Arabidopsis thaliana: one gene and its partners. The protein of the gene in region 3 interacts with the protein of the main gene of each other region in a pairwise test. Each region holds a gene or a part of one and is shown on either strand. Other genes may lie near its edges. The genes, in order: ABCC5, MHX, AtVEX1 and UMAMIT8.

What was found.
Region 1: the proteins of AtVEX1 (region 3) and ABCC5 interact in a protein complementation assay, tested with the Arabidopsis thaliana proteins (one large-scale study listed by BioGRID).
Region 2: the proteins of AtVEX1 (region 3) and MHX interact in a protein complementation assay, tested with the Arabidopsis thaliana proteins (one large-scale study listed by BioGRID).
Region 4: the proteins of AtVEX1 (region 3) and UMAMIT8 interact in a protein complementation assay, tested with the Arabidopsis thaliana proteins (one large-scale study listed by BioGRID).

What each region holds. Positions count from the first base shown.
Region 1 is NC_003070.9:1,064,290-1,074,106, forward strand, and holds the start of ABCC5 (multidrug resistance-associated protein 5), read right to left. Parts: upstream 6,792-9,817; 5' UTR 6,399-6,791; intron 6,206-6,398; 5' UTR 6,108-6,205; coding exon 4,068-6,107; intron 3,959-4,067; coding exon 3,638-3,958; intron 3,561-3,637; coding exon 3,474-3,560; intron 3,262-3,473; coding exon 2,563-3,261; intron 2,483-2,562; coding exon 2,318-2,482; intron 2,237-2,317; coding exon 1,942-2,236; intron 1,861-1,941; coding exon 1,646-1,860; intron 1,567-1,645; coding exon 1,261-1,566; intron 1,155-1,260; coding exon 1,091-1,154; intron 1,006-1,090; coding exon 766-1,005; intron 672-765; coding exon 559-671; 3' UTR 1-558. Other genes in the region: TPR2 (Tetratricopeptide repeat (TPR)-like superfamily protein), read left to right, coding at 9,176-9,280, 9,360-9,572, 9,651-9,817. UniProt on the Arabidopsis thaliana protein: Pump for glutathione S-conjugates. Involved in regulation of K(+) and Na(+) cell content.
Region 2 is NC_003071.7:19,523,009-19,530,639, forward strand, and holds MHX (magnesium/proton exchanger), read right to left. Parts: upstream 4,573-7,631; 5' UTR 4,304-4,572; intron 3,888-4,303; 5' UTR 3,821-3,887; coding exon 3,430-3,820; intron 3,344-3,429; coding exon 3,168-3,343; intron 3,077-3,167; coding exon 2,958-3,076; intron 2,867-2,957; coding exon 2,694-2,866; intron 2,546-2,693; coding exon 2,430-2,545; intron 2,312-2,429; coding exon 2,095-2,311; intron 2,008-2,094; coding exon 1,878-2,007; intron 1,808-1,877; coding exon 1,510-1,807; 3' UTR 1,109-1,509; downstream 1-1,108. Other genes in the region: PHR2 (photolyase/blue-light receptor 2), read left to right, coding at 146-387, 482-547, 643-724; AT2G47610 (Ribosomal protein L7Ae/L30e/S12e/Gadd45 family protein), read left to right, coding at 6,846-6,848, 7,173-7,217, 7,337-7,538.
Region 3 is NC_003076.8:25,228,784-25,234,812, reverse strand, and holds AtVEX1 (Nodulin MtN3 family protein), read left to right. Parts: upstream 1-2,968; 5' UTR 2,969-3,285; coding exon 3,286-3,328; intron 3,329-3,421; coding exon 3,422-3,458; intron 3,459-3,528; coding exon 3,529-3,745; intron 3,746-3,967; coding exon 3,968-4,129; intron 4,130-4,145; exon of another isoform or gene 4,146-4,245; intron 4,246-4,259; coding exon 4,260-4,379; coding exon of another isoform or gene 4,380-4,442; exon of another isoform or gene 4,443-4,465; coding exon 4,466-4,609; 3' UTR 4,610-4,875; downstream 4,876-6,029. Other genes in the region: AT5G62865 (uncharacterized protein), read right to left, coding at 246-749; AT5G62860 (F-box associated ubiquitination effector family protein), read right to left, coding at 1,272-1,772, 2,026-2,181; AT5G62840 (Phosphoglycerate mutase family protein), read left to right, coding at 5,141-5,370, 5,669-5,914, 6,020-6,029. UniProt on the Arabidopsis thaliana protein: Mediates both low-affinity uptake and efflux of sugar across the plasma membrane. May play roles in nurturing the male gametophyte.
Region 4 is NC_003075.7:9,356,825-9,363,385, reverse strand, and holds UMAMIT8 (nodulin MtN21 /EamA-like transporter family protein), read left to right. Parts: upstream 1-3,146; 5' UTR 3,147-3,514; coding exon 3,515-3,705; intron 3,706-3,806; coding exon 3,807-3,872; intron 3,873-3,914; exon of another isoform or gene 3,915-4,014; coding exon 4,015-4,131; intron 4,132-4,226; coding exon 4,227-4,461; intron 4,462-4,564; coding exon 4,565-4,729; coding exon of another isoform or gene 4,730-4,774; exon of another isoform or gene 4,775-4,797; coding exon 4,798-4,949; intron 4,950-5,047; coding exon 5,048-5,201; 3' UTR 5,202-5,480; downstream 5,481-6,561. Other genes in the region: AT4G16630 (DEA(D/H)-box RNA helicase family protein), read left to right, coding at 54-96, 177-278, 362-454, 563-682, 806-1,101, 1,195-1,210.

The DNA of each region.
Region 1 (9,817 bases), on a different chromosome or scaffold from region 3:
CTATTAAACTTAGTTAAAGCCTTGAATAGGAAAATACGACCGTTGAGAAAGGAATTAAATGCAGCAGCGTGGTTAGTGTTCGTTCACTACGTGCATTTATACACGCACGCTCAACACGCCTCGTTTTGTCATCGGGTACTACGTCACAACAAAACGACGTCGTACAGATATTGTTATATTGGGCTCTGTACAACTTATAAGCCCAGTACTGATTACACTTATAATAAGCCCAATACAGATCACACTTGAGGGATGATGACGAATGATTAGTAGTTTCTACTCTAATCTTTGTTTGTTTTTGCAGTTTATTGATAAACATGAAAACCAAAGAAACTAACTGTTCCATACAAAAAAAGTTTCTCCCAATGTTCGACAGAAGAGATTTAAACCCAAAGTTTTTTAAGCGCGGAGATTTTGGCATCCTTTCATGCTTTTTCTTTTCTTAAACCCTGTGGAAAACTCTCTCTTACTTTAGACCTTAAGCTTTTGTCACATATCAGTTCTTTTATATCCTCTTGAGAAAAGAAACCCCCTAAACTGAATTTTTAACATGGAGGATCATAATTCAGGGATTCCAGTAGATCTTGAGGAGTATTCTGTTACCAATTTCAAGAACATCGATGATTTGTCTTCTAATAGCCGTGCAGGAGTATCAAACTCTGCTACTCTACCTGCAACAAACCATAAACATAAACATTGAATTCTCCCAAAAGACGACGAGTAATATGAAGAAAGATCCATGTTTTTAATTTGTATGAGACTAACCGTCGCTGAGAACCAAAACTAGGTCACTGTCTATAACAGTTGGTATCCGGTGAGCAATGGTGCAGACCGTGCAGTCTTCAAACTCTGTTCTGATTATCTTCTGGATCAGATTGTCTGTTGCTGTGTCAACCGATGCTGTTGCTTCATCAAGAACAAGTATTTTGGCTTGTTTCAGTAATGCTCGTCCAAGTGACACAAGCTGTCTCTGCCCTACACTCCAGTTATCTCCATTTTCCAGTACTACTCGGTTTTGAGCCAAAAAAATCAGTAGAAAGAAGCGAAAAAGACCCGGGAAAAAGAGAGGACTTTTGATGTAAATAGTTACCTGGAGAGTCAAGTTTTAGGTCTTTTCCTCTAACAACGTCTCCAAGCTGGGATTTATCAAGCGCCTGTCAGCAAAGTTGGGTAAATCTCTAGAATCAAACTCCAAATCTCAGAGTTTAGTGTCTAAAACATAAACAAGATAAGAGTATCAAACAACATATTTATAGATACCTCCCAGATTTTATCATCTGAATGTTCTTCAAGTGGGTCAAGATTTGCTCGGATTGTTCCTTCAAATAATGTAGGATCTTGAGGTATAATCCCAAGGCGACTACGAAGATCATGAAGACCAATTTGAGAAATGTCAATGTTGTCAATAGTAATTTTTCCAGCAGTTGGCTCAATCAATCGAAACAAAGCTTGAATCAAAGTCGACTTTCCGCTTCCCGTTCGCCCAACAATCCCAATCTTTTTTCCACCCGGAAACACACAGCTCACCCCATGGAGTACTGTTGGAAGATTCTCAGCATAACGAACCTTCGAAAAGAACGAAGCAATAAGAAAGCAGGGAAAGGAAGTGCAGAGAGGTAATAAAAATAGTATTTTTGAATAGTACCTTAACATCAACTAGCTCAATTGTTCCCGTTGCAGGCCACGAGGAAGGCGGGCGGAAATCTTCTATAATTGCTGGGGCCTCTCCTACAATCTGACTGTACTGATAAATCCTTTCGATTGAGATTATTTTGTTTTCAAGCTTACAAAAGCTAAGTATCCATCGTGATAGACGTCCATTCAAGTTAAGTCCATATGTCACAGCAAGACCTGCCATGCCTATTACAACAGGAACATCAATATTAGAAAAACCGGCTGCTCGTTGATGCTTTTTTTGTTATAGTAACTAGAGATACTTACTTGGATCAATGGTTCCATGTGGAAAACTGACGAGTAAAACCATACAGAAAGCAAATACAAGTGTGGAAAGTAATTCCATGCGTAAACAAAGCCATTCGATAGCAGCGATACTGCAGAAGAAAGGTCGAACAAAACAATCTAGAAGATAAAGATTCCTTTTGATAAATCTTTTTTCCTGGCCAAATCCTCTTATTGTGGCAGCACCAGCAATTGATTCTCCAAAAAGATGAATTATTGGAGACTTCTGGATACTAACTATCCGAACCAATTCTCTTGAAGAAGCCATGTAATATTTCTGCATTTTATTTCAATATAAACTAAATTACGAAAACAATCTTTCACAGTTATTCAGAGGAAAAATCGAAAATAGATTTACCTGCATCCAAAAGCAAGCAACAGCTACCGGAACAACAAGAAGGAAAACTTGCCAGGTAACATTGGTCATTACAGCGACAATGCCACAGAGTTGTATTGTTGTTGAAGCAAACCCACCGAGTCTAAAAGGAATGTCAAGATCTACAACACTTTGATCAATAGAAACCTGCACATCAATAAAATCCCCAAAATCAGAAAAGTAACACAGAAACTGTGGAATTTGGTTATAATACCACATCTACATACCCGATTCAAAATTCTTCCTGCAGGAGTGGAATCAAAGAATGACATTGGCGCTCGGAACACACTTCTGAGCATATTTAAGAACAGTTTCTGTGCAGCTGCAAGACCAAAAGTTGCAACCAGAGCAGCTCGAACAAATATGAACACAGAGCTCCCGAAAGCTAAAGCCGTATAAACGATGAGAAGCAGAGTAGGATCCACTTTAGATTCGTCACCTTCAGTTTGAGGATTTGCCCAAGCCATCCACCAATTACTAGCAATCTGAAGAAATTGGAAAGCAGCTTGTGCGAGTATAATAAGAGGAATCAGAGCCCCTTTATATGCAGCACCCATGTATGACAAGTACACCTTCATGCTGACTTTTCCCTTTACTCGTTCCTCTTCTTGAACAAGCTGCTTTTTGCGGGAACGCTTAGCTTTCTTCTTCTTCTCTTTGATTGCCTTTAGATCTGAAGCAGATCCTCCCTCTTGTACTTCCTTTGCCAAAGTCTCGATGTCATTTTCAAAAACATCAGACTTTGGATTATGCAAGACCAAACTATCGCGAATAGGATTTTCATCAGAGTCTTCTGAGGAGGGACTTGGGATGTCCATTGCCTCGATTGCTTCATGGTGGGCAGACACTAAGGCCTTAAAATCAGTACCTGCTTGCAGCAGATCATCATATTTACCCGATTGAATAATCCTGCCTTCCTTCAGAACCTTTGAAACAACACAAATAAATATTTCAGAGCTTATCATAACGGAAACAGTTTGGAAACTCCTTCAACAATTTTACCTTTCTGCAACAATAGAGATAAGTTCATCACAGGCTGGTAAGCTAAACACCTAAAAGAGACCCTTTAGCAATTCTAAAAGGACCAACAGTAGCCAGAATTAATGTGTAGTAAAACCGAGAAAAAAGAGTTTCTTACCAATATTAGATCAGCTGCAGGGAGAAACTCAACTTGATGCGTTACAAAAACCACAGTTTTCTCAGCCAATGCAGATAGAATATAATCCTGTATAGCCATTAATAACCGTGTTACGCAAACGTTCAAACTCAAAATATGAAAACATGACTTGAATAGCTTCTTACCCTAAACAAATCAGAGCCAGTGTGTGCATCAAGAGCACTAAAAGGGTCGTCTAGTAAATAAATGTCAGCATCTTGATATAATGCCCTTGCAAGTTGTACACGCTGTTTCTGACCTCCGCTGAGATTTATACCTCTCTCCCCGATAATAGTTTGGTCCCCATGTGAGAAAAGCTCTATATCTTTCTTTAGGGAACATGCTTGTATCACATTCTTGTACTTTGTTTTCTCCATTGGACTGCCAAATAGAATGTTTTCTTCAATGTTACCAGACTGAATCCAAGCCGATTGAGACACATAACCAGTAGTACCACATATTCTAACCTATATAACAATTATCAGCAGTTGGATCAATGATAGCTAAGTGAATATAAGAAAAGAAAAGAAAAAATAGTGAAGCAATTGAGACAAACACCCCAAAACATTAACTTACTTCGCCAGAGATTTTTGGGATTTCCCCTAGGATGCAAGAGATAAAACTTGATTTTCCAGAGCCAACTGTGCCACAGACAGCCACACGCATACCCTTCTCCACTTTCATCTGAATCCCAGATAATGTCGGCCTTGAAGAAAAAGGGTCCCAACAAAACACACCATCTTTAATCTCTATGGCTATATTCGAAAGTCCCCGTGGAATAACAACAGTTGCATCTTCTTGAAGTTCTTCCTCCTGCAAGAACCCAGAAATCCTATCAAGAGAAACCTTTGTCTGAGCCATCATTGAAACCAGATCAGGAAAGTTCCGAAGTGGCTCCTGAAGAATTCTGAATGTCGCCAGAGCAGAAAGAACACCTCCAGCGGTAAGTTGAGTGCCTAGAAATATCGAAGTAGCGAATGTAACTGCGGCGACAAAAATGGGGGAACTCCAAAAGATAAAAGTAACAAAAGCCTGAGAATATAAGGCTTTGCGAAGCCAACCATACTCCTCTTCCCTCATTTCTTCCAATCTCACTCTATAACGATCTTCCCATGCCTGCAATTTCAGAACTCTCATGTTCCTAAGACACTCTGAGGTTTTCCTCATTCTTTCATCTTTCGCAGTCATCAACTTATCTTGATAGTCTTCCTGGACCTTAGCGAGTGGAATCGTGACAAGAATCGAGATTATTGTAGCAACCAATGTAGCTACAGCAGCTATGCCCACGCTTTTATATAGGATTGCAAGAGCAAGAACTATTTGCATCGGAAGCATCCAAATATCATGAAGATACCATGAGTAATCTCCTATGCGCTGGACATCGACTGCCATGTAGTTTACAATTTCACCGCTCGTGTGGTTCTGCTTGGCTATACTTGAAAGTTTGAGACCTTTTCGGTATACCATTGCTGTAAGAGCTGATCTAACATGCATCCCTAGGATATCAACACCCATATACCACTGGCGGGTGGTGACTGTCTCTATAAGCTTGGACGTAAAGAATATCCCAGCGAGTACGTATCCTTCATGAGGGAAAATCTCCTTCCCTCCAAGATAATCAACAAAGTAGCTGATCAAGTAAGGACCGACATAGGACACAAGAGTATTCAACCCAGCAAATACGGCATTGCAAGCAGCTTCTTTCCAAAATGATTTCATAATTGCACGAGCTAAAGAAGGAGGCTTTGAAGGATTCTCGGACTTGCATCTCTTCCAATTCGACTTCAAGACCTTGTAACTTGATTTGGCTCTATCTCTTGGTGCAAGAAGCGGTATATCCTTAAGCTCAAGCGGTCTTTTTGAACCAGCCGAGAGAAGTGGATCCAACCATGAAAGCGTAATAAGGCTAACTAGCCCAGCAGTACTATATGGAGTAACTTTAAGACAAGCTGCCTCTTCTTCAACAAGCAAAGGCTCTTGAAGATCAGAGGAGCTTCTGGTAACTTGAATACCAGAAACGCCTCTCCAGGCCAGAAAGCAGAGAAACCCAAGAGCAGGTGTAACAGCTAAATTGGCGACAACATGAGAAGAACATCTGCTCCAACCTTCAATGGCTAGCCTTCTTCCATCGACATACATAGTACAGAGGCAAATCGAAAACGCCAGGAACCACCATATCCTCACCAAGAAGGGTAGCTTCTCTGAAGACTTGTATTTCAAATGAAGAACTAAGAAGCTAAGGACAAACCAAGCTAAACTCTGAGAAGCTGGAAAGCAAAGAACAAACCAGTCACTGACTTCTCTTCTAACCTTAACCCCATCATATACTAACACCAAAACTTGGACGCCTAACACATATAAGCAACAGAGCAAAGACAGATTAAACCCAAACCCAACACTAACATGGTTAACCTCTCTTTCCAAGCTAAGATTAGAAGCTGAAACCGTATCGTCCTTAGAGAGCCTATCTCTGCCTCTTCTCACGCAGACGAGAATCTGCCTCGCGGAGACAGCAAATAGAAAGACAAGAAAGAGTAGGAGGTTGATGATGACCGAACATAGTTCCAGTAGTGGCAAATGCTCTCGAAAGATCAACGAGATCTCAATAAAATCCATGATCGGGAAAGATTTGTGATAGAGAGTTTGTTTAAAATCAACAACCGGCGGATTGTTCGAGATAGAACAAGCATCTCACCACATCCCAAAGCTCGTAGCTGCAGAAGAAGAAAAAAAACAAAGGAGAGAGAGGCGATGAATCTTATATTTCAAAGTGGAATTGACACATTGCAAATCAAAACAAAATGAGTTTCTCTGCATGACCCAACACGTAGAAGCGATCACAGAGATACAAAAATACAAACAACAAACAAACAAACAAACAAACAAAAAGGAAACTTTGGCTCTCACCAGCTCTTAATAGATCAAAATCGATATTTCCCAGAGAAGAAGATAGAGAATGAGAAGAAACAAATCAGCTGAAACCAGACGTCACTTGGGTTCTTGAGAGCAATCGAGAAGAGAGATCTCTCTTCTCTTTAATTAAAATCAACAAGAAAAAAATTAACAATTTCTTCTGTTTCTCTCTAATCCTTCATTCGCCAACGAAAAAAAATGCAAAATTTATTGGTTGGATCGATTAAAGATTGTGCAAAGTAGTGGAAGAAGATTGGGAATTTAATAAAGGAGCTTCCTTTGCCTAAAATAAAATAAAAAATAAAGGTGGTTCCTTTGGGCTTTTTGGATGCTTTCTCGTGGACTTACTGTTTTGCTTAGTGTGTGTGTTAATAATAAAGCCGTAAGCTCTTTGTGCGCTCACGATGCTTGACGTCGATGCGTCAATGTGTCTGTATGTGATCTGACTTTTTTGGTGATTTCATTTTTCAATTGTCTTTACTCTTTATGATCAAATTATTGTATTATTTGACCATATATGTTATCAATAAAAGCACTTATCATTAAACTTAACCATGGTAAGCAATGAATCATATTCCGATTCTTTTACGTTTTTATTCTCTCGATTCGTTTTATACGAAATCGCCAATCATAACTCAAACGAAAGAAATTACCATTTTGCTAATCTAAGCTGTGTCTAATTAATTGTGGGATACAATGGAGGAGGAACCTTATACGGTCCATGGAATATTCTACACGTGACGTGATGAGTATTATGTATTGTCTACAAGGCTACAAATATTACTAAAATAAAACTGTATAGGTGTCAGTATATTACAAAATACTATATAATCACTGGTTTATCAATTCCTATGTATACACATTGAGCTTTTTAAAATTCATTTGTAGAAAGTGGAGACATACACGTTATCGTTTCAATACATATATATAAAAGAAAGAAAACCAATCTATCATCTCTGCACCAAAACAATGAGACAAATGTGTCAACTTGATTAAAAGATATAAAAGAATAGCGTAAGAGTATGAAATTAATGACTTTATATATAGTCCAAAGATCCAAACTTATACTCACCACCAAATTGTTCGTATGTACTAATACTATAGTATAATTACATGCACTCTTGCTCTCAAGTGAGAGAGTGTGAGACTATTCAGATAAGCAACTATATAAGACCAACAAAAGATGATTTTTTTTTAATTCTTGCCCGTATGTGTTTATTTGTTTGTTTGTTTGGACAATATGCGGATGACGACTTACTACACATGCCATTCATGCAAGGTAATGCGTCTTACGTGGCATACCATTTTCTAATACATGTATGATTAAATGTCAATTATTGCTGACTATGCAGTAAAAAATGTGTACGTTAATATGTCCTTTGATTAATATATTACATTTGGTTATACACGGTACGTCAACACATTTCTAGTTCGCAATAGGGAATTCTACGTTCTTCCACATATAGTATTTCAAATATATATATAGACTGAATCTTCCTTCTTCCAATCAACTTATATTCTCACGAATAATAGAAATTAATTTCAACTATATATGATGATGTAACTTGGAAGAATTAAGGAGATGATGTAACAATCTAGAAGCCTTGATAGTGTATTATAATGTTATACATAAATAATGACAATTGTAATATAGTTGTTAATGCTGCGTAGTTTTTGTCATTTGCGTTTGTTTGGTATAGTAATGGCTTTGTTCAAACTTTTTTTGTACCACTTTCGGTCCATGCCAGCTCACTTTCCATTATCTTTCGTTTGCATAAATACAAATTTCAAAAAGGTAGCTTTTCTTAGATGAAAAAAAAACAGTATATATGTTGCTCAGTTCATGAACACTGTATATGAACCAAATGTCGCTTACGTATGCAAATTGTTCAATTGAGGAGGACAAACAACAACAAAAAAGATAGTGGAACATGCGATCTTCTTTAAGTTCAAACCGTGTGTAACGTGGATAATGATAGTGGTGCGTGGTCCTTTAACAAAAGAACTAATCATAGTGTAATATACCTAACACATTTCTCTCACATGTTATCTATTTGTTTTAGGTGTTGACATATGACCTAAAAGAAGCCTCTGTATTGTTGCTTAAACGCAGGCACTGCCTGGAATGTTAACAGGGCTAATTGCGAGTTATAAATATTCAGTTGTTGTAAGTCTTATCAAACTATTATTGTCTATTGATGATTTAACAAATACCAAGCCAAACACAATTTAATTCCTATCGCACTATTTTGGTAAGGTGATTGGTGATTGGTGAATGTGAATTCAATACTAAATGATGTTACAGATTGTACGGGCCAAGTTAGGCCCATTGAATGGCCCACCACCTTAAATTCAACTATGGTACTAAGAAAAGTTCTATCACTTGTCGTTTTATTTCTCACCGACCTTTTTCTTACATTGTCCCCCGCTCTCACCTTTCCTTTAGACTCCGGTGTCTCAGTCTCACTGTCACTGGAATTTATTATTCGACTCAGAAATTTCACTTTAAAAAAAAAAATCTCATGTGTGTTAAATTTGGGCCCATAATACTCTCTCATATACACACAATCGAGGCTCATGATAGCTATTGAGATCAAACCGGGACAATAGTATTAAACCGGTATTCGGTTAACGAGAGGAAATAACCGGTATCTGTCCCTCTCCCTCCAAAGAACTCGAAGCTTCTTCTTCTTCTTCTTCTCCTGCTTCTGTCGTCGTCTAGGTTAATCGAATATTTCACTATTTGCTTTCTATCTTTCTGCTGCGAATCAATGGCGCTATGGATGGACGCTGGAGCGACGCCGACCACGGAGAAGGAAAAGGCTGATCTTGAAGCTATTTCTGCTCTCAAAGAATCCACCGCCATCGAATTCAAAGTACCTCTCTCTTCTCTGGCTCGTTCGATTTTGATGTTTGATGTAGTATCGATTTCATTCCTTTGCTGTTTAAACACAGGAAGAGGGCAATGAATGTGTAAGGAAAGGGAAAAAGCATTACTCTGAGGCGATTGATTGTTACACGAAAGCCATTAGTCAGGGAGTTCTAAGTGATTCAGAGACCTCTATTTTGTTCTCGAATCGATCCCATGTTAATCTACTCTTAGGCAACTATCGGCGTGCCCTCACCGATGCTGAGGAATCAATGAGGTTATCTCCTCATAACGTTAAGGTAGTAAGCTAAACTTTCTCTTTGATTTCGTTGTACCGTTTTGGTTGGTTTCTCTGATGGGTTTCAATGCTTCAAAAGGCGGTGTATCGAGCTGCTAAGGCATCCATGTCATTGGATTTGCTGAACGAGGCAAAGTCTTATTGTGAAAAGGGAATCGAGAATGATCCGAGTAATGAGGACATGAAGAAGCTTTTAAAACTTGTGAATTCAAAGAAGCAAGAGAAAGAACAACATGAGGCTCAAGC
Region 2 (7,631 bases), on a different chromosome or scaffold from region 3:
ATCAAGTGTTAATAGTAGTAGTGCTGTTTGAAGGTCCATGGATTCTTCTTAGGATCAATGAACGTTTCTCTTTAGGTCCAATATTCGTCTGCGGCTCTTACTGTCTTACACCTTCTCTTAGGAGTTAACATTTTGTTCTGCTCAGGAGGGGAAACCGACAATGGTTGGAGGAGAGACAGAGGCGTTGACTAGACTAAAGAGCTTTGCCGCGGATTGTCAGGCTCGGTTGAGCAAGGGAAACCAGAAAGGAGGCAACAACAGTGTCTTTGGTGCAAACTTCTCTTGCAAGATATCACCTTGGTTAGCCATGGGAAGCATCTCTCCTCGTTCCATGTTCGATGAGCTGAAGAAAACAATCTCCGCATCAACCACCTCCACAACTCCAAGGTAATGTCTCAGAAACGCAAAACACTTCAGGAAACTCTGGTGAACATAGTAAGTGTATGTGTCTAATTATCATTCTTTGAAATGATTTTCTCAGGAACGGACCGGGAGATACAGGACTCAACTGGTTAATGTATGAGTTGCTATGGAGGGATTTCTTCAGGTGAGCTCTTACTTTCTTAACTTGCCCCCTAGTAGAAATGTAGAATTTGTATTTTGTCTGATTCTCTCTTTGATGTGTGTTTAAACTTGGAACAGGTTTATAACCAAGAAATACAGCTCAGCGAAGACGCAGGTCGAGGCTGGTCCGGCTACAGCCTGTACCGGTGCCTTTGCTTAAACATTTGAAAACTTTCAGGTGACCGGAAAAGTTAGAAGCGACCTGTTTCTTTGCCCTACTCTGGTGTATGGTGGATTAATTTGCTATCCGGACAGGACTTTACTGCTCTCTTTTGAAACTTGAGTGTCAGGAGAATAAAATCTAAGCTTCTTTTTTTGGCTCAATCAAGTTGTCCGTTCCCTGTTCTAAACATTTCGGATACTCATTCCATAAAAAGTCTCTACAATTTGAGACGCTCTCCTTTGTGGTTAAGACTTGAGAATGTATCTTAGAAAATAACCGAAGTAGTTGTGTCTATGAATATTAAATTCAGGAATATTAAGATGTCACTAATATCAGAAGCAAGCAGCAACTAGAATATGCACTTCGTGGTAAATGGGCATTAGAAATTCTACAACACTTATTAAAGAACCGTACTAAACACTAGTTACTTGGATGAAAGTTACATATAAAAGTTTATATTAATCGACTAAGATTATTTGCTTGACTTTAGAGAAAGTTTGCATATATGTACCACAAATTGGTAACACTGCAAATAAAAAAACAAAAAAAACTGCAGGATAATGAAAATGTACTCCATATATGCACCTCCTAACTAGAGATGAAGCCTCCAAAATCATAGTCAATATGATTTATATTTGCAACACATATTTAGCCAACTGCCTTTGAACTTTGATAATTATATAAAACCCCCTTAACAAGTAAGAAAAACAAAAACTGAGACATGTGCAAGTAAGCTAAGACTTTTTCTTCTACTCATGGGGTTTTTCCTTTTGTTGCTTCTTCTATATGACGCCTGAAACTTTCAAAGAAGAAAGAACAACGAAGACGACCCAAAGCATCATGAAATAGGCAGAAGTAAGCCAAGCCCATAGCCTTGGACCTCCAAGCTCAGCTCCTATAATCAACCTTCTCAACACAAGCACCACGATACATCCCACTGATGTCGCAAAGAATATCAGAAGCGAAAAGCTTAATCCTTTAGCGTTTTCTATGTATAAAGGCTCTCTGTATGCAAAGTAGTTGTAGACTGTGTTTATCAGCCACGGAACTCCAATCCCCACATAGATGTTCACCGAGTTACTGCATAATTTATCACCAAAAAGATCATGAAAAGATCTTCAATGTTTGTAAAGGGTTTTGAGATTTTTACCTGCAGGTGATGTTTGCAATAGCTGAATCTGCGGTTAGTTGTCGCTCTGCAGCGATTTTACTTGCTACTAAGTCTGGCCATGAAGTTCCACTTGCGAGTGCTGTGAATGCTATCACATATGGGTTTATTCCTGCAAGATGAAAAGAGTTTCTAATGTTTTAGAGCTCAAATGTTTAATCTTATAACTTCAGTTTTTGAAAGCGGTGAGGGTGTGTACCAGTGACACAGCTTATAAGGTCAGTAAATCTTGTGACAACAAAGGCTACTCCACTGATGAAGAGGAGAGAGCAGATGAAAGCGATCCAACCGTGAGCAATGTTGCAGGGGGGCACAAATGCAAAAAGCAGTTTCCAAGGGGCGAGGAGTAAATGCCAGAAAGATTTCGCGATTCGAAGATAAATGCTATCCACTTTCTTTGATTCTGATGTTTCCAACTGTTTGATTACGAATAGGAAGAGAAACAAGTTAAGAAAGATGTGTTGATAATGATCAAAAGCCCAAAATAGGATATAGAAGAATCTAGAAAACACTTGGTAAGTTGAAGATTTTTACCGTTATTGCATCCACGAATTGATGTTTCCAAATGTCAAAAACAGTAGAATTCTTCGCCTTACCCTTCTTAGTCGCAGAATCGGGTGGAGTATCTGCCACAGTATGATAAGTGATCCCTGCAAAAGTGTTTGTTACAGGGAAAGTTTGATTTATAACAATATACTACCAGAGATAAATATGGGAATCACATAGATTTGGAAATAAGCAAATACGCTAAAACTGATCTTATATCAATAGAATAGACAGCCTAATCATACTTAGTACCTGTATCATTGTTAGCTGAATGAATAGAGAAGATATCAACAATGTTTCTGCTTCCCGATTCAACAGCATCTTGAGCAGCATCCGAATACACATCATGAACATCATTGTCATTGTCATCTTTGGATGTATCAATCTCCTCTGGAACCCACTCCTCTGGCCTATCACCTCTTGACCTGCAAGTATCAAATACAAACACAAAGATACAATCTTTAGTAGAAATCCATTTTGAAGGAACTAATATTATTGTCTGGAAAAGAAACCCACATTGGTAAAGACAAGTAAGGCCATCGCTTGTCTTGGGCGTACGCATGAACTAGAAGCAATCCGTATTGCAGTACTGTCAATAATGCCTCCACAAGTGTAATTACGTTTGGTGACCACACCTGTGAGACGTGAAAAGAAACAGATTTTTAGACCTTATCAGTATAGAGTATAGACTCAACAGAATCTGTTTAAACCGCTTTTCACAGTTACCTCGAGGATTATGTATAGCCAGATGTAAGCCCAAAAAGACCATACGAGCTCAACTAGCCAAACACCTAAGTCGGATATCTTTTTCAGTTCTCCAGCTTTTGGCACAACGACACAAACAGCGTGGATGGGGAAAAGATCAAATGCAGCTGAGCCAACAAGTGTTCCAGGACCAAGACCTATATGACAAAACATGATATAAGAATTCATGAACTTAAAAGTAAAAACTAGAGTTTTGGAAGGAAGAAAGGAACAACCACCAGACCTCCAGCATACCGCTCCCCCATATTCCGTATTGCATCGATGGTAGCCAAAGAAATCTGAGGGAAGCTAGTTCCAAACGCCAACAAACTGATGTCTGCAATAGTAAAGTTCCAAACTTTCTTGTATGTGATGACTTCAGCTTTAGTAATGGGATCAATTGTAACCACTTTACGGGAATGTTTCACGACATTCTCCATAGACTTGAAGAACCGTGCAGTGATGGCTGACAACCCAATAAAGCAGTAGGCAAGACCGAGAAAATATAACACACCCCTCAAACCATCTGACAAAGTGTTTTCTCCGGGGAATAGAAAGAAGTTTTCACATCTTAAATGCCCAAGAACCTTAGAAGATTCTTGCAACTCCTGGGTTTGATTAAGAATTGAGGCCATTGTAACTTATTCAAACCCCACCTCCTAATAAGTCAACTGAACACTTGTCCTCACTGGGGAAAAGAATCTGGCACACCAAAAAGAAGCTTACAACTTTTAGAAGAAACTGATGAAACCTGTAGCCTGATCGATCGAACAGTATCAAGAGGATGCGAAACAAACGGAACATGCAAAAAGATTTCTTTCCAGAGAATCTGTAACACAAACTAAACATTGCAAAGGATCCAATGGCATGTAACCGAAATCCAATCTATAACCAATGCTAATAACAATTGCATGTTCCACTGTATGCGTAATCAAAATCCAGAGGTAACCAGATCAAAAGATTATAACTTTCATCATGGGTTCAGTAAAACAAGTTGGGTTCTTTTCACAAAACCATAATTTTCAACGAACAAATCTCAACAAAAATAGCTAAAAAATAAGAAAAGAACAGATGAAACAGAGTGAGCCACGCGACGAAATTGATCAATGCGGACGTACCGGAGAATATCTCGGTGAGCGGCATTCACAATACGCCGATCACGGGAGAGATTTTCCGACAAACGGAAATCGAGAGGAGCTGATTGGAATCGGTCAAGCGTTGGATATTGCGGTGGAGACTTGGGAGCCATTTATACACATCTCTCTAATCTCTGCATGACACACTTCAATTATTGTATCGAAACGAGGATTCAAGCGTACATCGACCGACACGTGATCTTATCTAATTGGATGATTTACTTGACTAACTAGGATTAATTAATCTCGCCTTTCTTTGGTAAGGTTTAAGAATATGAGACCTCAATTGCAAGTTTTTTTTATATCTTTTTACTCCCTGAATTTTGTTTCATTTCATCCTTATAAGCATTAGATTTTAATTTCAACCTGAGTAATATTAGTTTTATCATCTCCTCGAGTTTAGATATTATCATAAACATATATCTTACTAAAAACCTGACCTGACTAATTTATTTTCTTTATAAAAGATAAACATGATAAATATGAAGTGTGAACGCATTATCAAATCAGAATTAGTGGATATATATGTATTTTGTTTTTTTCTGATTAAAAAAATTATTGAGATATATACAATTGAACTATGAGGACAAAAAATATATATATATATATATATCTTATTATATAAAGTATGGTTTTCAAAATTGACTTGGCACAGTGTCAAGTCAAACGATTAGATGTTTACATGTGTCATTCAAAATTTAACTTTTTTATTCTTTAAAAAAATAGAAAATCTTAAAAAGTAAACAAATTTACATATACTAATTTATATGTCTATATATTTATAAACAATTAACATTTATTCAACAAAAGCAAAATTAACAAATTTGTCTTTAACTCATGTAATCATAAGTGAAAATAGAACACTTTGAGAAAAATAGCTTAGCTTATAGGATTTAACTTTTCAATTATTTTCATTTATTAATTTTAACTCATTTAATATTAATTTGCATGATGTAAAATTAACTTACGAGATTACGTGGGTGATTGGTTTGTCTGTAACTGTAGATTTACTGCTGTAGAATTTTTGTTGTAGGTGTGATGACTGTAGCTGTAAGTTTTATTGCTGTAGAAATTAGACTGTAGGTTTTATTAATATAATTATTACTTAAAGAAATTGGGTAGAAATAAGATTTTGGTTGTATGTATTTTTAAACAAAAAAATATTATCGGGTCGGGTTCGGTTTGGGTTCGGGTTCGGGTTCGAGTTATTTATATATTGAAATATCAAATTTTGTGTGCAAATCTATTAAATTACTTGAAATTTTCAAAAATTCCCAAAACAACATGAGTAGTTTTGCTTGAATATATCTAAAAATACACAAAAATAACTAAAATATCCAAAAAAATTCTAATATTTTCTATATATAAGTATAAATATAACTAATATATACTTATATTTGAGATATGTTTGCATACCTATTCGGGTTTGGGTTTGAGTTTTTCGGGTTTTAAAGTTTATATCCGTTCGAGTATTTGAAAATTTCGGGTACACCCGCCTAAATAGGCGGACCTTATCTAGTATATATATACATTTGAACTATATTGTTTACTTTTTAGTTGATTTAGGCTATGTATGACATTGACATAAATCTACCTGTTATTTATCACGTGTAATTCGTGTAAAGTGTAAACTAGAAAGTTCAAATACGTATTTGTTTTTGTTCTGTTATATAGGATTGTCATAGTTGTAAATCTACAATTTATTACAACATGAATAAGTACACAAGCAATGTAATTGGATTTAATTGCTAAACTCTTTACATGGTCAATCTAAATTTGATAAGAAATACGTCACATATTACTAAGACTGATAGTTTTTTTGTTGTCACCAATTATTTTTGTTAAATTGACGAAAACAATTCCAAAAACTCAAATGTACAAAATCATACAGTCTCACAAACATCTCATAGAGAAAGATATAAATCTCCCATATGGGAACGATAACACGAGGTCGAAATACTATTCGTAAAACTAAAACGCCTTAGTTATAAATCGTTAGTTGTAACCGCGGTCGAGAATACATACAGATCCACGAAACTACTACTACACATGCTGCTGAATTGGAATTTGGAAAAGACCATCTTCTTTAGGAAGAGCTCACCCAATGAGTGACAAAGGTGTCGGTGGCTTGTTTTCTACCCATATGTATACATCAAATGGTAGTTTCATTAACGTTTGGTTTTGAGAAAAGTAAGACTTTGGCTAGTAGCTAGGTTCGTATATAATAAACTCTTTTGAGAAAGTTCATCACTGGTGGAAAATGTTAAACCGGTTTTTTCTCATTTTTTCCGCCATGTTAACCACCGGTTTAAAAAGACCGTAACACATTGAAAGATTAATAAGGGTATATTTGTAATTACGGTTTGCTGGCAATTTTTAATTATTATTTTAATTAGAGAAAATAGAGAAGCCCTATCAATGTACATGGTATATATATAAAAGGCAAAACCCTAGAAAACGATACTCTTCGACTCAGCCGTCCTTTCGCAGAAACCATTTGGAGTTGGAGCTTTGGACGACGACAATGGTATCATCTCTCTTCCTTCCATCTTCATTTCGTTTCATTTGGGATCTGTTAGTTGTTTGCTTTCATAGTAGAATCATCGAATTAGATCCTTCACGATAGAGTTAGTGTTTCCTGGATGCATTCTCGCTTGAAGATGAACACACATGGGTTTCGATTTCCTCTCGGTGGTAACACCATCATTGCTTATCTGCTTTGGATTTAGCTTTTGATAGATTTGGTAGTTGATATAGCTTATGAATCCATCTAGAAATTTGCGTAGAGAGCAATGTCACAAATGTTCTGTGGTTACTTTATCAATCTAATCACGCCACGATTTGGTTTTAGGCCCCGAAGAAAGGAGTGAAGGTAGCTGCTAAGAAGAAGACCGCGGTATGTTTCATTTCCAATTCTCTTCTTCTTTTTTAGGTTTTCGAACATTCAATTTGTTCTTTGTTGTTGTTTTTTTCTTTCTTGCTGAAGTTTTGTGTTTTGATTTCTGATTTCTCCAGGAGAAAGTTTCAAACCCTCTATTCGAGAGGAGGCCTAAGCAATTCGGTATTGGTGGAGCTTTACCTCCTAAGAAGGATCTCTCTCGCTACATCAAATGGCCCAAATCCATCCGTCTTCAAAGGCAAAAGAGGATCCTGAAGCAGAGGTTGAAGGTCCCTCCAGCTCTTAACCAATTCACCAAGACTCTTGACAAGAATCTTGGTATGTCTATTTCATTCTCAATCTACTCTTCAAACATTTACTACTTGCTGCTGTTAATTTATTATTGAAATATTTACCAGTTCTGGTAAATCT
Region 3 (6,029 bases):
TTCAATATCCCCTCAAAAAAGAAACAAAATATTGCTTCTCTTTCAAGAAACATAAAATTTGGTTGATAAATAAATTAATTAAACTGGGAAAATAATAAAATTAATTCAAAGTTGATTATATAAACAGAATGATTAAATAAGAAAACGCGACAGACTCCAAAAACGATGTAAACCAAACCAGTCAACCATTTTGACAGCCTTTTCCCCGCCGCCAGAAACGCAAACGCGTTTCTCACACGCGCCCACTAACTTTCAATGATCTCATTACGCGGCGTCAACGCAGACAACGACGTCGGCGAAATCGCCGGAGCTTTACCTGAGTAAACCGGGACAGAAGCGAATCGGGTCGAGAAGCTTCGTAATCCACCTAGTCCGACGTATTCATCCTCCTCGTCGTCGTCATCGAAGTTCAAAGAGTAACTCAAAGGATCGTATTGAAACTTCTCGCTTGCGTCCCAATCGCGGCCGCGTCGTGGATCGCGATTGAATCGACGAATGAAAGTCTTCCACCGTGGACCAGCAACGATTTCTGACCACTCTCGGATCTTCAAGGATGCTCGGATCCACCAACGTGGCTCGTCGCCGTGGTCGCCGCTGTGATTACTGTCATCGACGGTTCGAATTCGTCCCCAGGAGGAGTAACCAACGGCGGTGGAGCTTCTTGATCGGCGGAAGCTGGGGAAACAACAGCAACGTTGATCGTACCGGGTATCAGGATCTCGGGTTGGGTCCGACTGCGAAAGTTCCATGGGCCGAAACTCAGAGAAGTTTTTTCTTGGGTCAAAAGACTCGTGATGATAATATAACTTGATTCAAGTTTTAGCTGTAAAGGATTATGATTGGTCCTATTTATTATATGCACACTTGACACTTGTAATATAAATTAAGAAATTGTTATTTTTTCTATGTTATTATATGCACACTTGACACTTTTACGAATCATGGCTGTAAATATTAAAACCTTAGAAACTCAATTATCGATCAACACGATTGAGAATCATAAAAAGTGTTAAACAATTTCTTAGGCTGGTGAAAACGAGTCTTAGAAAAAATAAATATCTTGAGCTAGAATCCGTTATAAGATAGTTACTTTCCTAACAATGTTTTTAGGAATACACTTGATAAAACAAAATTGATATTTATTATAAAAACTACTATTCACTAAGGGAACGAGTTGAACAAATGTGATCCGGCGGGTACAACAAACTAACATTTCGGATCATAGTACGAGGGGTACAAAGATTGAGCAGATGTCACTGTCTTTGGCATTATCACAATCTCACCATTAGGACTGACACCAGCGATGCAATACCTAATTTCTCAAATATCATCATCTTAGACCATTCTTGTTGCTCAATATGATCTTCCATAATCCACATCTCTGCACTAGCTTTGGTGTAACGTATGCATCCTAATTTTCCTTGGTAGTTTACCAAAGTCAATTCATCGAAACTCACTTCACTGAGCTGCTGATTCATCTGCAGAGTTATGGGCATCTGAATACGATCAAAGCTTTCGTGTCTAACGTCGAACCTCACTAGCTCATAGAATTCGGGATCATCCCAGCTTTCTACATGTGCTATGTAATAGATAAACTCTTTGATACATAAACCACTACTCCTAGCTTCTGGAGAGTGATTCCAAATGCCTTGGATGTCAAGGCTCCTCCATTGCTGCTTCATTGGACCTCCCACTAATGTGAAAACTTGTTTCTCAACTGGATCATATCCGAACAATCCATCACACGAGTTGCTCCATCTATCGTGTTTTACCTCCGGTAATAAAATCGTTTTCCTATTGGTATGTTTATAGATCGAGCTTGACCAACAACAGAAGAGTCCTCGAAAATTATTGATACTTAAAATCCCAACTTCGCCCATGGTTTAATGTATAATTACTGTCTTTGTCTGGGTATATGAATGATATATCATTAGTAGGATAAGTAGAGGGCGAGAATAATGACCGAGTCATGATCAAGAGGGTGATACGAGATGACCACAGCTTCGATACACATTGGAACCTCACAAGTGACTTAACAGGGAGTCTCGAGAGTATATCGGTTATTACATCGAAAGGGATATGTATACCGTTTGAATTTTCTCTCTCGGAGATTTCGTTCTGACGTTGTTGTCGTCGTTTTGGAGATCGTGAGGTCTTCTTCTCTTGGCGTCCTCTCTTCATGGTGTCAGTTTTCTATTTCATTAAACTTGAACGAAGAAAAACACATATATATTTTTGGTTTTTGACATTTTTTGGGGGTTTATGACATTTGTTTTTTTGGATATTTTCTATATATTGGCAATACAAAAGAGTTTATAAGCTAAGCAGCCCAGTTTCATGTCCCATTAGGTTTTAGATCTCAAGTCTTAACCGACCTACATTTAAAGGGAAAACATTAAGAAACAATGAGAGATTAATTTAGTATTTTCGATTGATGCGCCTCACACTGAAACCTGAGGCTTGTGTGTTCTGTTTCTCTTCATCTTGATTCAATTCGTTTGCAGTTTCGTAGCTTGATGAGAAAGGAATATTAAGTGATTCATATATAGCAAAGTGTTTACATAGTAAACCTAAAAAGAGAGTAAAACTAAAATCTCTTCTCTTTATTCATCAATACAAGTTGCTATTAACAAAGTTTTTGGTTACAGCACATATTCACTTGCTTTGTATTATTGTATATACTATACAAGATGCTCTACACAACATTTACTATGACATGAATATGAGACAACAAACTCTTTATACATAATGAAGATGTAGTAATAGTAAATGTAATTATGTTTGAGAAAGAGAAAGAGAGAGAGAGAGAGAGACAGAGGTATTAATGTGAGTGAAGAGCCGGGTGTTTCTCATGCATGGGGTACGAGCGGAGTCAACGGCTTCATGGCTCAAATTTGAAACCACGTGTCATGCGTTTGTTACTCTACCCAGATTCTGCTGATTCACAGACTCACTATTAAAATCCACTTTTTCTTTTTTCTCTGTTCATAAAGCAGAAACCAAAAATAATCCAAATATCAAAAAACCAAAAACAGAACCTAGAAACCACACCAAAAAAAAAAAAGCTATTTCATCAAACAAACAAAACTCACATCACAAATCAGAAACAAACAAAAAAGAAACGCAGTACTAAAGAAAAAAATTATAAACAAGAATCATCGAAAAGAAGAATCGAAATCATCAACATATTTTGTTTCTCTTCTTCTTTTATTTTTATAAAATATAAATTAGTTCTTTGATAAAATCTGTAGAAGATAAAGAATTCTTCTTTAGAAACAAAGAAAAATGACGGACCCCCACACCGCCCGGACGATCGTCGGAATCGTTGGTAAGTCCTCCACAATTTACTCAAACATAAAGTTTAATTCAATCAACAACAAAAACATTTGCTCATGTCTTTGTTTGTCTGTTATATGTTTAGGAAACGTGATTTCTTTCGGCTTGTTCTGCGCTCCAATGTAAGCACACATGATGATTAAATCTTTTTTTGTTTTGTTGCATGCAATGACATATGTGAAAATTGTGCAGACCAACGATGGTGAAGATATGGAAGATGAAATCGGTCTCCGAGTTTAAGCCAGATCCATACGTAGCTACGGTTTTAAACTGCATGATGTGGACATTTTACGGACTTCCTTTCGTCCAGCCCGACAGTCTCCTCGTCATCACCATTAATGGAACTGGTCTTTTCATGGAACTCGTTTACGTCACCATCTTCTTTGTCTTCGCTACCTCCCCTGTCCGCGTAAGCCTTTAAAACCTCTAATTTCAACACGAATGATAAAAATATGTATATGCATTCTAAATTATTCAATTTATATAAACTTTTCAGACATAGGTTTGATAGCCTTTAAACCAATTGAAAATTAGTGAATTAGTGGTTGATGTTTGTTTTAGTTTGTTACTTCAAATGTAGATCGATATAGATTTTGATATGTGAAGTTATGATATATATATATGTGTACAGAGAAAGATCACAATAGCTATGGTTATCGAGGTAATATTCATGGCGGTGGTGATCTTCTGCACAATGTATTTTTTGCATACAACAAAGCAGAGATCAATGCTTATTGGGATCTTGTGCATTGTTTTCAACGTCATCATGTATGCTGCTCCTCTCACCGTCATGGTATGATGCCTCTTCTTTCTAAACTAATCACGGAAATGCAAAAATTGGATACTACACTATCAACTTTTTTCTTTTGTTCTCTTTATCTCGTGAATTTCCATTTAATGAGTTTAGTTATAATGTGGAACAGAAACTTGTGATAAAGACAAAGAGCGTGAAATACATGCCGTTCTTCCTATCATTAGCCAACTTCATGAACGGTGTCGTTTGGGTCATTTATGCATGTCTTAAATTTGACCCTTATATTTTGGTAAACCCTCATATATATCTTTATTGTTTGGAACTCAAATCCCTACATCTCAAAAAGGACTAATTATCTTCCATGCATGAAAACAGATTCCAAATGGTCTTGGATCGCTATCAGGAATAATCCAGCTTATAATATACATAACTTACTATAAAACAACTAACTGGAACGATGACGATGAAGATAAAGAAAAGCGCTATTCGAATGCTGGAATCGAACTTGGCCAGGCTTGATAGTTTCAGCTATTTCATCGTCTACGGTGCTTCATCGATAGGTTAAGATAGAATCAGAAGTGAGGTGAAGTTCTTATTACTATTATTTTGTGTAAGCCTATGTAGAAAAAAAATGAACAAGTGGAACCCTTAAGTTATGAAGTTTCTTGTGTATGAAGAAATGGGTTTTCAGTTTTTTTTTTTGGAAATGATTGTAACTTTCGCAAGTTGAATCTATGTACGTTGTTACAATTTTAGTTTTAATCGAAGTTTATTAGATTACTTTTATAACATTTTCTTTTTTGGAAACTGTAAGGAAAGAAACAAATTTGTCCTCTTAAGAGCAGAGTAATAAACAGAGTTTCTCTCTTGTTTTAGGTTTTTTTTTTGGTCCTGACCGGTTAAGAATATTTCCGAGAAAGTTACCGGTTTAGCTGATTCGATTTTAAAAACGAACCCATAATCTAAACCGGAATGTGCGATTCACAATTGTGGTTTTGTAACCTTAAAACACGGAGGACCAGAGATACCGTTTGAGATGACGATTGAATTATGTTATCATCATCACCGGCGGTCACCACCGCCTCACACTTACATCCTCCTCCGTCGCCGGAAACCTACCAAATTCCTCTGAATTTACTTTCCTCGCCGCATATTACCCGCCGAGACCTTTTCAAAACTCTCTCCGTATGTATTGCCACACCATCACTCTCCGTCTCCATCGCCGCACCAGCTAACGCACGCGGTCTCTTTCAAATGCCGCCTCTCCGGCTCTCTAATCGGTAATTTACTTTTTCAAAACCCTAGTTTTGAGTTTCTGTGCATACAACCAGATGTGCATCAATGTATACGTATCTTCGTCCTTTTGATTGGAACTAAGTTTAAAGGATCTTGTAAAGCTTTAGTAGATTAGTGAGATTCCAAATTCTTCACATTGAACTGTTAAGAGTGAATCTCTGACTTTTAACATTTTGATTCTTGTTCTTGATTCGTTTCCGGAGTTATTTAGCCTGGTTATCTTAGAAAATGGAGCTAATAATACACAATGTGTTTTTGGTTGTTGTTTTTTCTTGGATCAAGTTATTACCTTGTGAGAGCTGGGGAATCAGATTACGAAAGCTTAGGGATAATCAACACAAACCCGGTTGCCAAAACATCGGTAGATAGCGGATTATCAGAGAAAGGTAAGAAGCAGACTCTGAGAGCTGCGTTACAGTTAAAAGCAATGGGAGCTTGTGACCGAAACTGTTGGCTCTGGCCTTCCATAACACAGAGAGCTTATCAGGCTGCTGAAATCATCGCCGCCATCAATGGAATTAGTCGCAGGTAAAATCGTCCATTAGTCTTCTTACTCTTTAGTGAGGTTTTAGCTGTGGAATCTAATCTTTGTGATGGTACGCTGAATGTTTTATGTTCACTTGGTTTTCGCAGCTATATAGTT
Region 4 (6,561 bases), on a different chromosome or scaffold from region 3:
GAGAATTGGTTGATCTGTATACTTAAGCTTTGAGGTGTTTTCATCAATTTCAGGGATGAGCGAGCTCTAAGGAAAGCTGAAATGGAATTTGCAAAGGTAGGCAGCTTTGGTTCTTGTCTTTGTTCAATTATTGTGGGAATAATTTCAAATTCGTGATTATGGGCTTGTTTCTGCAGGCGGAGAACATGCTTGAGCACAGAGATGAAATATATGCACGCCCAAAAAGGACTTGGTTCATGACAGAGAAGGAGAAGAAGCTCGTGGCACAGGCTGAAAAGGTGTTCTTTTAATTTCCTGAGGTTGTTGTTGTAGAGAGAGGGATACACTTGTCTGAATCATTCTTTATACTTTCTCTGAATAGGATTCTGCAGGGAACCCTGCTGGAGGCGAACTAGTTAGTGCTGATAGAGCAGAGGACCTCAAGATGAAGGAGAAGAGAAAACGTGAACGCGAGGTCTGTTTATCAAGAAGCTCTTCACTATTCAGTTGCATTATCGTTCTAGTTTAGTGTTGATTGCTTCTTCCTAGAGAACTTACAATTCTCTTGACCATGCAAGTACAGAAGAATCTTCCTAGGAAAAAACGTAGAAAGCTAGAAGCTGCCAGAGAGATGCTAGAAGATAACGAAGGAGAAGAAGAGGAAGAAGACGAAGAAGGAGACGAAAAGAGAGGAAGATCAAGAGTAAGTATTTCAGAGATACACATCACTCTCTCTCTCTCTCTCTCTCTCTCTCTCTCTCTCTCTCTCTCTCTCTCGCCGGGATGACAAACATTGTATTGATTTTAAATGTGTGTTTTTTTTCAGGGGAAAGACAAGAAAAAACAGGAGACAGATAAGAAGGGATTGACACTAAAGGATCTTGGTTACATGAGAGCAAAAGCGGTGAAAGCAAAACAGAGAGCAATTGATTCCGGTAAGATGGAGAGACCAAAGCCGGACAAGAAACAAAGCCGGAGTAAACCAAGAAACCAGCCTCGTGGTGAAGAGATGAAAGATCTGTTCAAGAGTGATATGGGCGAGAAGAAACAGGGCAGAGGCGGTGCCGCGGCTGCAGCAAAACCTCGGACGAAGTCGAAGAACTCATTCAAGAGCAAAGCCAGGTAAGAAACATTTCATCATAAACATGAAATTTACCAGTAACATAAATTGTAATTTGTTGGTTTAACTCGGTATTTTCTACTTTTATCGTGCAGATATAAGCGTAGGTAAAAGGAAAAAGCATTTTTGAGAAGATATCGAAGGACAATCCCACGAGAAGAAGGACATTTCATTGAGAAGGGTTTAAACAATTTAAATTATTGTTGTAATATCATAATTTAGAACAAAACTGGTTAAGATGTTCGAAATTTTGTTTTCTTTGTCCTATGGTTTTTATAATCTTTCATAAAGCTTTACCATGATTATTCGTAGTATGAAGAAGCAAAAAGTGGTTTAAAAAAAAATTAAAAAAAAAAAGAAGAGGTAAAAAGTCACGTGAGTTGGCGACGGTTGTAGTTGTAGACGCGTGGGCACGTGAGAAGACTATGTATGTTCACAGACTTCAGAACTTGAGACTGTAACCTTTTGTCTGTTCGTACGTGGCACAACTCATTAGTCATTAGAATGTTTTGAACCGGTTTAGGAGCTAATATGAGTTTCTGCATATTCAAGATGCCTTTTATTTCACACCAAGGGGTTTTGATACTAGTTAGGGTCTATAAAACTAAGTCTTAAGTGTTTTGAGCGTGAACTTTTCTTTTTTTTGGTCAGCGTGAAATGTTTCTAAGCTTTTAAACGCATTAAATTTTCATGATATGGATAACAGATGTTACAAAAGAAAAAAATGTATGTGGATAAAGATTAAACTCTTAACTTAATATATTTAGATAGATCGCATATTATATTTGTTGGGAAAAAAAGAGGGGGAGAAAAGAGAGACGATAACACGCTTCACAAGTCATTGGAAAAGAGACTGAGGATTGTTGACGTGTAAGCATCCCCACTTTTGCTCTTTTCTTTCTTACACTCCTCATTTTTTCTTATCTTACGCTTCACCTACCATATTTTACACTCCACACAACATCTCCAATATTATACATCTCCAATTAAAAATCTTTCATAGGCACATCATTTATTATAAAATAACTAATTCGTTATAGACTCTAGTCTAGTTTTCTAGTTAAAACTGATCCCTAGAAAATATTTTGATCATAAAACTATTTCGGTGTGAAAACGAATCACTAAACCATCCTTTGGTGTTTTGGGTTAAATAACTAAAACATTTCGGTATGAAAACAGATCACTAAACCATCTCATTAGCATTAACAAGGATATTAGAATAGGAAGCTTTTTTTACCAATAAAAATGATTATAGGTAGGTAGGCACATGGCATACACATATGATTTATCTGTGAGACTGTGACAAATACAAATATGAAGACATTCCATATTTGCATGCAAGAAAAAAAGAAGGAAGTAAAGAGTGAACAGATAGTCAGATACGTAAAACGAATAAAGGAGAAGATGGTAAGATGTCGTATTATATATCCAAAAATAAGAATACAAACAAAAGAAGAACACTGATAAATATTTTTGTTACTCCCCCGAGAAAAGGCCAAGGTCCCCGAATCTGACGGAGTTTATTGCATCTGTCTTTTTTTCCTTCTTCTCCTTTCTTTTTGGTTTATCTTTCTTTTTCATACTCTGCATGTTTTTAAACTTCACTGTAGTACAGAATTTCATCTTTAACATAAATTTGTGTGAGGGCGATTTATGATCGATCATTCCACCTTTTTTTAAATGACTTTACTGACAAAATAAACATATTATTCTTTAGTCTTAAATAAATAGAATCTTGTTTTATAATTTTGCTATTTTTATTACGTTATTTTACCAATCAAAACTATGGTTTTATATTCCAAATTTTATTAATATAGTGGCAACTTCCCAAATAAAAATCTTGACAATTTGAATAATCTTAAATTTTTGCCTAGCCGATTTGGCGAATTTTATTTATTTATTTATTTGTTCTATTTAAGAAATATCAGACTCACCGAAATATTTATTTCTTAACAAATTAAGCTAACCGCTCTCAAATTTTTGTTTTGTCTTATTTCATACATATTAAATCCATTGCACCAAAATTTGAGGACTCTATGTGTTATAAAAATAATCACCGTTTTAGACTAAAAATAAATTAAAATCTGCGCTTCCCCAAAAAGCTATAATGGCGAGACACTCCATAATAAAACCAATGCAATGTAATGGACACATGTCTTTAAAAGCAAGAAGTGAAAGATAGAGAAAGTTTCAACTTCAAGCATTACACATTACCAAAAAGAGAGATCACAAACAAAGCATCTTTTCTATTTTCATTTATCAACAACAACAAAACCAAAAACTTAATTAGTGTTTCTCTGCTTTTTTAGTTCCCCCACAAAATCGAATCCTTCTGTTCGGTTACCAAATGGGTTCCAACTGATTTGTCCGTTATTATTCTTTTTATTTTCTTCGTGTTTTTTTTGTGTTGAAAAAATGATGAAGAGAGAGACGTTAATAGAAGCAGGAATAATCGGAGGATTGGCCGGAGCTCAGGTGATTTACGCCGGAAACTCGGAGCTACTGAGTCAGTTGCTGTCTCTCGGAATTGACCCACTTCTTATCGTTATCTTATGCACCTTTGCATCAGTTCTTCTCATCACCCCTCTCGCTTTTCTCCTTGAAAGGTATCTTCTTCTTTCTTTTAATTTACAAAATCTCTGTTTCGAACTTTATTCTACATTCTTTTTCTAATAAAAATTTGGATTTTTGTGGTGTGTATTTGTAGGAAGCTTTGGCCTAGAAGTCTAAGTTTCAAGTTGAAGATAAAACTAGTTTTGGTTGCTCTTGCTGGGTAAAAACTCCTCTTTTTATTTATTTCTGCATGTTTTGATTAATAGATGCTTACCTTGCTTCTTCTATACGTTAAAGAGAAGGAGAAGAATTAAAAATTCATAACAAGGGATTAATTAAGAGAGAAGTTGTGTTTGAAACAGAGTGACTCTGTTCCAGGGGTTATTCTTGGAAGGAATGAAACACACCTCTGCTTCAATGGCTACAGCTATGCCTAATCTCTGCCCTGCTTTCATTTTTGTCATTGCTTGGGCTGCTGGGTAAATCTTTTACTTTTGTGTTAATCTAATCTGTTTAGTGTTTGAAGATTAGAGCTTTCATTAATGTGTTATTTGAATAAATTGTAATTGTTAAGGATGGAGAAAGTGAAGCTAAGTTGTATGTATAGTAGAGTTAAGATGGGAGGGACAGTGTTGTGTGTGATGGGAGCTCTCATTATGAGCTTAATGCACAGTACTACCGCTACTTTAAGCTCGGTTAAGACTATACCTATTGTCCCTGACGAAGTCGTTGTGGACAAGGACAAGATCTTAGGTTGCCTCTATCTCCTCCTTGCCATTTGCGGCTTGTCCTCTAGTATTGTCCTTCAGGTTTCACCTTATACCCCTTCTTAGCCCTAGAGCTATCATATATCCGGTTGTGCTAATTAATCTGATTCTTTGCTTGTGAAATCACTTTGATCGTCCTAATTAGGCATCCATACTAGCCGAGTTTCCGGCGCCTATATCAATGTTCTCGATGGTATCTTTGATGGGTGGGATCACCACAGTAGCTTTGCAGTATGCTCTTAAGGGAAGTATGGAAATGGGAAGTGCATCAGTAATCGGTCTCGGCCACCTTGTGGGATACGCAATACTGGTACGTCATAAATCATATATGGTTGGCAACATTTGGATGTGTTGAAAATGTTTTTGTTTTTTTTCTAGGGAGGGTTGGTGAGTGGAGGAGGGTTAAGCTTCAATGCATGGGTGATTAAGAGGAAAGGACCAGTGATTGTGTCTCTCTTTAGTCCAATTGCAACTGTGGTATGTGTTGTTGTCTCTGCTTTTACCATGGAAGAGAGTTTCAACCTAGGAAGGTACATTTTTGCAGCTTTTCGCATTCATTGTATGATCTTTTAGACAGAAAGAGAAGTCATTTATCTTCTTTCTTGTTTGTTTTTCTCTGTCAAATTAGCTTTGCGGGAATGGCGTTGATGTTCGGAGGACTCTACTTCGTTCTGTGGGCTAAAGGAAAAGAGGATTGTGAAGAAATAGATGAAATGAAACAAGATGATGAAGAAAGTTTGCTTAGAACAGAGTTTGATCTTCAGAAGCCTCTCTTGCTTTAGTTCAAAGTCTTTTTTTTTTCTTCTTCTTAATGTTCTTGTGAATTTAGTTTAGGTTTAAAGAAGTAAGACAATTTTACTTTACAGATAATTCGGTTAGATATACATGTAGTAGGCTGTAGACTACAGTATATGTTCGTGTGTGATACTAAAATAGTTGGATATAAAAAAAACATCACATACATACAGGGCGAAGAAAAAGGGCCTAAACGATGTTATGTAAAAAGTTGTTCAATGTGAAGGTATATTTATATATAAATAAAAATTACCGTTGAGTTAGAAGATGAAGATAAACCTACCTAATATGAGAATGCGAATGGAACTAAGCAAATACACGCCAAAGACTGTTTTCCTATTCCCAAAGAAAAGCTGAGCCAGAGTATAAGTCAGGTGTGGAGATGGAGTTAGATAATGACAAACAAGGTAGAAACAAAAAAACGCAAGTCAGGGTATTTATAGAATTGTCATTACATAGCAGATGACCAAGCAGGTTAGTGTCCGCTATATCGGAAAGCTTCAAGAGAACGGGAAGATCTTCGATTCCACCATTGGAAAAGCACCTTTTAATACTTATGTGATATGGCAATTAAGGGATGGAGTTATGTGATTGGTACGTGATACTTATGAAGTTGTTGTTACATGCAGGTCATGGTAAAGTCATTAAGGGATGGGATGTTGGCTTAAATGGTAACTTAGTTTCGTCCTCCTAAAGGTTTTCATCACTTTGTTTCAAATGGTGTATTGCTCTCAAGTTTTAAAAATTTCACAGGCATGTGTGTTGGGGACAAAAGAAGGATTACAATTCCTCCATCAATGTCGATATCTTCTTCTCTTTCTCCATGCGCTTGATGGATACCTTCAATATCTTCTCTACATAAAATCTTGGCGAACGACTATAATTGTACTTCGTTGTAGATATCATGCATACGTGCTTCCATTAATCTGCAAATTTGCTAATAAATCGCAGTAGCTGGAACTGGAACATTAGACTTCTGGATGTAAAAGCATTAATGAACTTTTGGTCAACCATTAGACCAAGAGGTTTCCACGATTTCTTTCTTATAGTCAATTAATATATTTATTTGGATGAAAAGTTAACTAATATTAAACACTGAACAGAGATTTTTTTGTTTGCATCTGAAGAGTTACGTAGTTACTGAAAATTGAGATTGAAGCAAAGCTAAGTAGTTAACACGATAGATTCCATTGTGTAAGCCTCTTCTTTACTCAACTATGTATTAAAGTTCCAACAACTCAAATTCAAATCCTTGCTGGTAATGTTAACATATGTATTCTTTGTCACCTTTTCAATAAAACCATGATTACCAAAGGTATATTATCAATTTAATGGATTCTTGACTAC